2 linked regions of the Caenorhabditis elegans genome follow. The protein of the gene in region 2 purifies or fractionates together with the protein of the main gene of each other region. This does not show direct contact. Each region holds a gene or a part of one and is shown on either strand. Other genes may lie near its edges.

The links.
Region 1: the proteins of ZC412.9 (region 2) and dod-20 fractionate together in Caenorhabditis elegans (co-fractionation; one large-scale study listed by BioGRID). This does not show direct contact.

The regions. Positions count from the first base shown.
Region 1 is NC_003283.11:420,659-424,773, reverse strand, and holds dod-20 (Downstream Of DAF-16 (regulated by DAF-16)), read right to left. Parts: upstream 2,342-4,115; 5' UTR 2,277-2,341; coding exon 2,068-2,276; intron 1,869-2,067; coding exon 1,714-1,868; intron 1,670-1,713; coding exon 1,331-1,669; intron 1,279-1,330; coding exon 1,145-1,278; intron 1,074-1,144; coding exon 875-1,073; intron 823-874; coding exon 710-822; 3' UTR 597-709; downstream 1-596. Other genes in the region: B0554.5 (UNC93-like protein MFSD11), read right to left, coding at 1-3, 98-261; Y39D8A.1 (UNC93-like protein MFSD11), read right to left, coding at 3,020-3,214, 3,425-3,560, 3,607-3,778, 3,848-4,036, 4,085-4,115.
Region 2 is NC_003283.11:14,880,672-14,883,896, forward strand, and holds ZC412.9 (uncharacterized protein), read right to left. Parts: upstream 1,439-3,225; coding exon 1,338-1,438; intron 1,294-1,337; coding exon 1,171-1,293; intron 1,055-1,170; coding exon 923-1,054; intron 881-922; coding exon 646-880; downstream 1-645. Other genes in the region: nspa-7 (Nematode Specific Peptide family, group A), read right to left, coding at 2,368-2,472.

The sequences.
Region 1 (4,115 bases), about 14 Mb from region 2:
TGGCTGAAAATATTTTGTGTTTAATTGTTGGTACATATAAACCAAAGTTATAACATTTAAAATGTTCAATGATTGGTCAGTTGAACTTTCCACTCACCCATAATACCCAGCATAGATGCTGATTTTTGCGGGTTCTCTCTCATGAATCGAATGAATTACAGACTCTAGAATAAACGACTCTGAATCGAATCCAGTCATTATGCACAGCTGACCGAAGCCGAGCAATGCTGCGCATAATAGTTCGAATCGCCGTTGATTCATTTTTTTTTACAAAAATATCAGTTTCAAAAACTTTGAACCGAAAATTTGCGGAGAGTGGAAACTGCGGTGACGGAAAGTTGGAAAGTTCTAGGCTGAATTAATAGGCAAGTTTAAAAAGTTTTGCATAATCGGCTGAACAAGTTCAAACGGAAGGCGGAGAAAGGATGACAGACGTTTTTCAGAGAATTGTGCAATTTTTCACACATTTTTTTTGGTTTGTTGAACTTTTTTGGTCTGTTTAGTACGCGATCAGGGGTGGACGGCAAACGATTTTTTCCGGCAAGTCGGCAACTCGGCAAATTGCCGGAATTGAAAATTTCCGGCAAATCGGCAAAATTTCAAAATTTTACAAATGTTTCATTTTAAAGTGCAATTGTGAGCTGAAATACTTTTCATCGTTTTTCATCAATAATATTATAATTGGGCCATAAATGTCAACATCAAAAAGCTACAGCCAATACATTGTTGAAATAGCCATTGACACGAATAATTGGACGACTCCGGAGGATTGAGTTGCCGTCTGAATGGGCCCTGAAGTTGGACTACCGAACAGAGTACCTTCTGAAATTTCGAATACCTCAAACTACAAAAAATCTAGAAAACAACAACTCACGAGCGACAAAATATTGCACAAAGTAGTATTCAGCAGTTGAGTTTGAGGATGTGGATGAAACTTTGAAAGTTTCAAAGTCAATATATGGGATGCTCCATGGAGAGAAATAGTAACTTGGAGGGAATGATTCTTCATATTTTGAATCTCCGTTATAAAAGCCTACTGTGACTTTTCCCCGCTTTGGGACATGTCCGAGAAGCTGAATTTTTAAATGTAGGGAGTTAGTTGTCGATGTTGGAGCACACAATTTGGTATCAAAATGAAACTTACATTTGCACCAGAAGCTCCAGAATATCTAACATCTCGCTTGATATTAACAGTTATGGTACTAGCATTTCTGGCCAGGGGCTTCATATAGAATCCAGTAGTGGTGAAGGCTGATGTTCTTTTTCCATCAATACTGTCTTCAATGAATTCATTTTTTTAAGTTGCGACCTTAATCTCAATTCCACTTACAGTATCCTGGTTCAATGCTGAAATTGACACCTCGATAAGTTTTCAGATAGAATGCTACTAGGCTCAACGAGAATTTTTCCACATTTGCAAAATACAAATCGGCTTTGTCAGTATGCATCGGGTTCGAGAAAATTTGAGTATTAGTTTCTTCTGCAGTATCCAGTGGAAAATCAGTGTACAGATATGCGTGGGCGGTAGAGTCTTGGCTCCATTGACTGATGATTGAAGACGGATTCGTTCCCATAATGGTGTTAAGGAACAAAATTGTGGTGTTTAAGTTTCCCATTCCTCTAAGGATGATGTTTGGAGATTTAGAAACACCGTAAACGTGAAAATTGGCTGGAAAAAGGATCTAAAGTGGCAATTTAGAAAATACAACTCACTGTCTGCTCGCTGTTTCCTGGAGCTGAGATAAATCACTCCATTAAGTGTTTTCAATTCATTATCACTCAGTGTTGTCGTAATATAGGCAGATTTTTGAACCGGGAATGCAGTGATTTCTCCGGAAGCTTGAAGATTTTTTTTGAGATCGAGGAGTCTGAAAAGCATTTTTATTTAAGTTAATAACTATTATTCGATTTTTTCGAAAACATCACATGAGCGTTTCCCAAAAAAAGTTACGATTTTGAGCTAACATGACTTGTAGATCAAAACTGGCGCGCGATTAGAGTTGACCAATTAGAGGTCATGGCCCCGCCACCTGCGTCTCGTTTATTGGTCGGTACGCTCAAACTTACGTTACGTTCTGCTCATTTCCGGTAATCACGAAAATCTGCTGCAGAATAAATTCAGCGTCCGAGTCGGCGGACACATAAATATTGTACGGTGCATGAGCTTTGAAATTATTTTTCACGTTTGTGCCTTTGAAAGAGCTCAAGCTCATTAACTTTTGAGCGGAGCCACACAGAAATAGACCAGAAATTAAAAATATTGATAAAAATGTCATTTTTTTTTTTGGAATTCGGCAATTTCACAACTGAAACTGAGTCACGAAATGTGTCCAAGGGAATTACCTTATATATGTAAAGTAATAAAATGAGGGGTGGTGAGGAGGTGTGGTGATCAGAAAAAAGATTAAAATTTCAACATAAGTGTGATAAGGTGGAATAAATCGGCGAGAGGCCACCAGGGTAGGCAGGCACCTTATCACGACTAGCTGCCTACCTTTTAGCCTCCGTTGTTCCTAGTGTTTGTAGGATGTAGATTTTCGCATTTCTCTTGTATTTTTTTTCCAAAAAGACCAATACAACTTACATCCCATTAAAAAGCAACGTGCACACACTCTACTGATAACTCGGAAATTAAACTTCGAATTTCGCAAGAAAACCGCTTATCAGTTAAATGATCGAAAGATCAGAACCAGCATTCTTTTTTTGAATCAAACAAAATATAATATTTTAATTCGGAAGAGTGGGAAACGGATCTCCTAGGACAGATCTGCAAGAAAAATGCATTGGAGATTAATTCGAAGTTTCAAAAACTAAAATTTCGAAAAAAAATTGAACAAATTAAATTAATTTAAGTTTGGAAGTATTAAGTGAAAAATTCGAAAATCTACGGAACTACCGCAAAAATGCAAAAAAATAGGTGATAACGTGTGTGATAACATTTAAAGCTTTCATCATCTCAAAAAAAATTTCAAGGTTTACCCGACACAAAATGACATTTTCAAAATTGTTTTAAAAAAAATTAAAAATTAAGTTTCTTTCCAATTTCTGCAGCATTTTTGCTAGCCTCCGTCATTTTCCGTTCCATAATTTGTGTTCTTTTAGAAATGGAAAAGAACAAAATTGTGGCGATGATTGCGAGAATTGGCAGGCCGATTGTGTAGACGTAGAGTGGTGTGATGGGGCTCATGAAGAATAGAATCGTAGATCCAAAAGCCTGGAATATGGTTTCTAGGTGGCTCCGGTAGAACGTTAATGTACATAAGTTGGAAAATTGTTATGCGTAGGTCTTCCATGGTAAGCCTGCGCGGTTTCAGGGCCTGACGACTGCCTAGAACCTGCCTGCCTCACGCCGGCCTTTCGGTCGCCCTAAGGTCAGGCAAGTATGTGTTTTAACGCCCCCAGTTTTTCAAGCCAGTTAACTTACATGATAAATCTTCGACACTGAAAACGCTTGTGGTCTTCTTTTTGGCATCAGCAACGCACAAATCACTGATCTTACACTATTTACACAGCAATCTCCGATTCCACAAAATAAGCCTATGATTAGGGCCAAAAGGTAGCTGAAATTAAATTTGCTACTTACTAAGAAAAACCTGTTAAACTTACGAATGACCAAAAAAAAGTGGCTCCTTGCTAGTTGGCCTAATCGGAGCATCGTACGGAGTAGACATATGGATCATGGCACAATACATCGTGATGAAGATTGCGCCAATCGTCATAGTTGGCTTTTGCCCGAAATCTTTGATACGCTTGCTGAGGAATGAGATCGCTAGTCCAACTGAAATTGAAATTTAGTAAAATCAAAAAAAATTTCACTGAACAATCCCCAAAATTGTCCAAAACTCACTTATAACCTCCCCGGAACCAACTCCTAGACTATAGACTGCTGCTAGGTAGATCAACTTTGAGTTCTGCATGGTAAAGCTCATCGCAGTCGGGAAAACTGAGAGCCAGAATGAGGTGTTGAAGCCGCTGAGCACAAAGAGCGGGAAGAGCTGGAGCATTGTTGGGGAAACCAGTGTCGAGCAGGTGAGTTCTGGAAAGGATTACTGTAGATCTACAATAATCTAGTAGTGCAACTTACTAAGAGCCTCCAAAAAAGTTTCCTTTTTCTC
Region 2 (3,225 bases):
AATGTAAACAACGCAAAAAAACTCTAAAAAATTCATTTCAAATTTAGATACGCCTAATCGAATGTTTTCCCAATTTCAGAAAAAAAAATTAAATTTCATGGTGAAAATACATTTAATTTCATATAATAATTCCTACTATATATAAATGTGGGAAAGCGAGAAGAACTAGAAGACCGAAGACTAGGAAACAAGAATTTCTAGTGATTGTCAGACGTCTGAAAAGTCCTTTGTTGGCATAGGGTATCTTGTGAACAAATAGGGGCATGTTTCAGGTAATTTAATTTTCAAGAAAATAATTTGAAAACTTAATGGTAGAAAAGACAATATGAAAAATTGATGATTCCAAAAACCGTAGTGCATGAGAAGTAAAATCTAATCTTTGCTCAGATCCACTCAGAAAATAAATGACCTTAAAATGTGCATTTTTACATGCGAACCAAGAAAAAAAATCGAATTATAATTTTTATTGCAGCTGAAATTATTATATACTTGGAACAGTTTCAAACAAATTGCAAAATTTTATTCAATCTTGAACATATTCAAAATCATTTATTATCAAAAGTACAAGTTCTCAAATCACCCAAACTCTTCTTTCATTTTTCTGAAAACTAAAAACGATTCTGTAAATTAGTGTCTGTATGTATGTCACTTACTTTTTGAAGATTTCTTACTCTTCTTCGATTTTTTCTGCGACTTTTTGGATGATTTTTGAGTTTTCTGAGATTTTTGTAGTTTCTTCGACGTAGACGGTCCAGTTGATGGTGATTTTGTTTTGTTCACCAACTTCTCAGCAAATTGCACCTTTTTCCCATCATTTCTTCCAGTTCCGGCGACTTTCTTCGCGGCTTCCTCAGTCAAATTGGAAGGCGGTTGATCGTTTCTGAAAATATAATTTATTTGCATTTCGATTAGCAATTATTACCTTGAAGCTTTTCCCAGTGGAACAGTGATGGTGAGCGTGTGCTGTGAATCTGATCGCTCTGACTTTATCTCCATTGCCGGCTTTCCTTTTTGAGGGGGCTTTCGGCCACGGAACATTCGGATTGAGTCCTGTCTGAAAGTAGGATTTGACATGACTGACTTCATTTCTCAGCCAATTGAAAAATCTGTAGTTAGTAGTATTTGTAGCTTGTAGTCCATGATGTTACACCTCACACCAACTTCACTCACACATCATTCCTTTGCTTCCTTTGACTAACCTCACTCCTTTTCTGATCGCGCTCTGATGGTCGTTCTGACACCTGTGTTTGTGATACTGAAATATCACTGTTTCCTCGTTGGGATTTTCGTTCTCTGAAAGTCAAGAATTCAGTCTGAAAACAAACAAAAAAAATTACCTTGAAGAGCCACGCTGTGCACATGAAAAGATTGAAAGCAGAAGTAACGATGTGAATAATTGAAGACACTCTATGATTGTGATTTTGAACGAATTGAGCATTTTATTGGAAATTTTACAAAGTGCCAAATTTACAGAAATAACGAGAAAAACGTTAAATGGCCAAAACAAACTTTGACTTGTGAATTGTGACCTTTCGAGAAAAATAAAATAGCAACGTGAAATTCAGTTTTTCCAATGTGAATGATAGTACGACGGATTCAACGGTGAATTTTGGATCTACTTAAATAGGTAATTTTAAGAAAATTATAAAATTAAAGAGTTTGAATTTTATTACAGTTTCTCATAAATTCTTTAGAAACTCTTTTTTAATTTGAGGACATATAGAGATGACAATCGTAGTAGAACGTCAGTTTTTTGAAAATAAACTTCAACGATTTTAAATTTAGTTGAAGATAAGAGAGCATATTGCAGATTTTTTTTTCAAAAAAATAATAACAAAATCCAAATGTTTGCCTATTACCAAGCATCGTTCAAATTATTGAAAACTTACAAAAACCACTTTTTGAGGCATACTATGGTCACCAAATAAATTAAAAAATGAACTCAAAAATATTTCAAACCGAATTTTCCGGGGTTTAGAGTTTAGTACCGCCTCTGAAATTTTCGTGGTAGCCTAGTCTAACTATAAGCGTAAGCTTCCACATAGGTATTGTTTTTTCCAAATATGTAGGTATTGTTTGATACTACTTTGACTTCCTTTTCTTGTGAATGGTTTGGATGTAAAAATGAAGTCCTTCCGCGAAAATCAATTAGAAGCTCGTGCCTCAGCAAAATGAGCAAGAATTGAAAAGCGGAAATGATGACGTCTCCAATCTTTTCAAATTAGCAAAACTCTATACTTTGCATTTTTCTTTACCATCTTTTGCAACAAACGTGCAAACTTAATATCAAAAAACACCACACATAAACCTTCATTTGTGAGACTAAAAACATAGGTCACTATTAGCAGCTAGGGCTCAGTTGCCACTTCAGATCATATCCTCGTTGGCGGCTTCAATGCTCAGTCCAATCCAAGCCATTGCAGTGTAGGCGAGAGTTGAAGCAACAAGGACGGCAGTGTAGATGACATTCATCTTGAGGTGTTTTTGGGAGAGTTGTTGGGATCGATTTGATCGTGATTTGAATGACAATTTCCTCCTTATTTATACCAACTATTTGTCATCATTTTGCTGATAACATCTATAAAAATAATCAGAAAAGCTCAAAATGTAAACAACGCAAAAAAAAACTCTTTAAAAAAATCATTTCAAATTTAGAAACGCACCATCAAATTTTTTTTTCGATTTCAGAAAAAATTAAATTTCATTGTGAAAATACATTTAATTTCATATAATAATTCCTACTCATTTCCAATTGCATTACCACTTCCTTAAAGGCGCATACCCCATCGCAACTATTAAAAATTTGTCGTGGCAAGACCGGATAACGTATTTGGAAGCAGAAATTGTAAAATTTTTGGGTCTACTGAGTGGCTTTACACATGTGTAATGACACTAAATAACTGTCTCCTCACCTAGGTACCTCCTCAATTTGCCGAGCAACTGACTTCAGCTCTGATCATCTTTTTGTGAGCCCCATGACCAGTACTTCGGCTTTAACAAGCCCAACTTAACGTTAACTTCGTTCAAGCTTACTTTAGAGTAAACAAGACTCACACAAAATTTAGTTTTGATCAGAAATTCTCCAATTGAAACTCACTGCCTTCTACGCTTGTAGAATTTCTCCAAAACCTGTCATTGACAGACTTTTAAAGTTATATTGAGAGCGGGCAAACATTCTAGTTGATTTTTAAAAATGTTCAATTTTTAACAAAAATTCTGAATTGT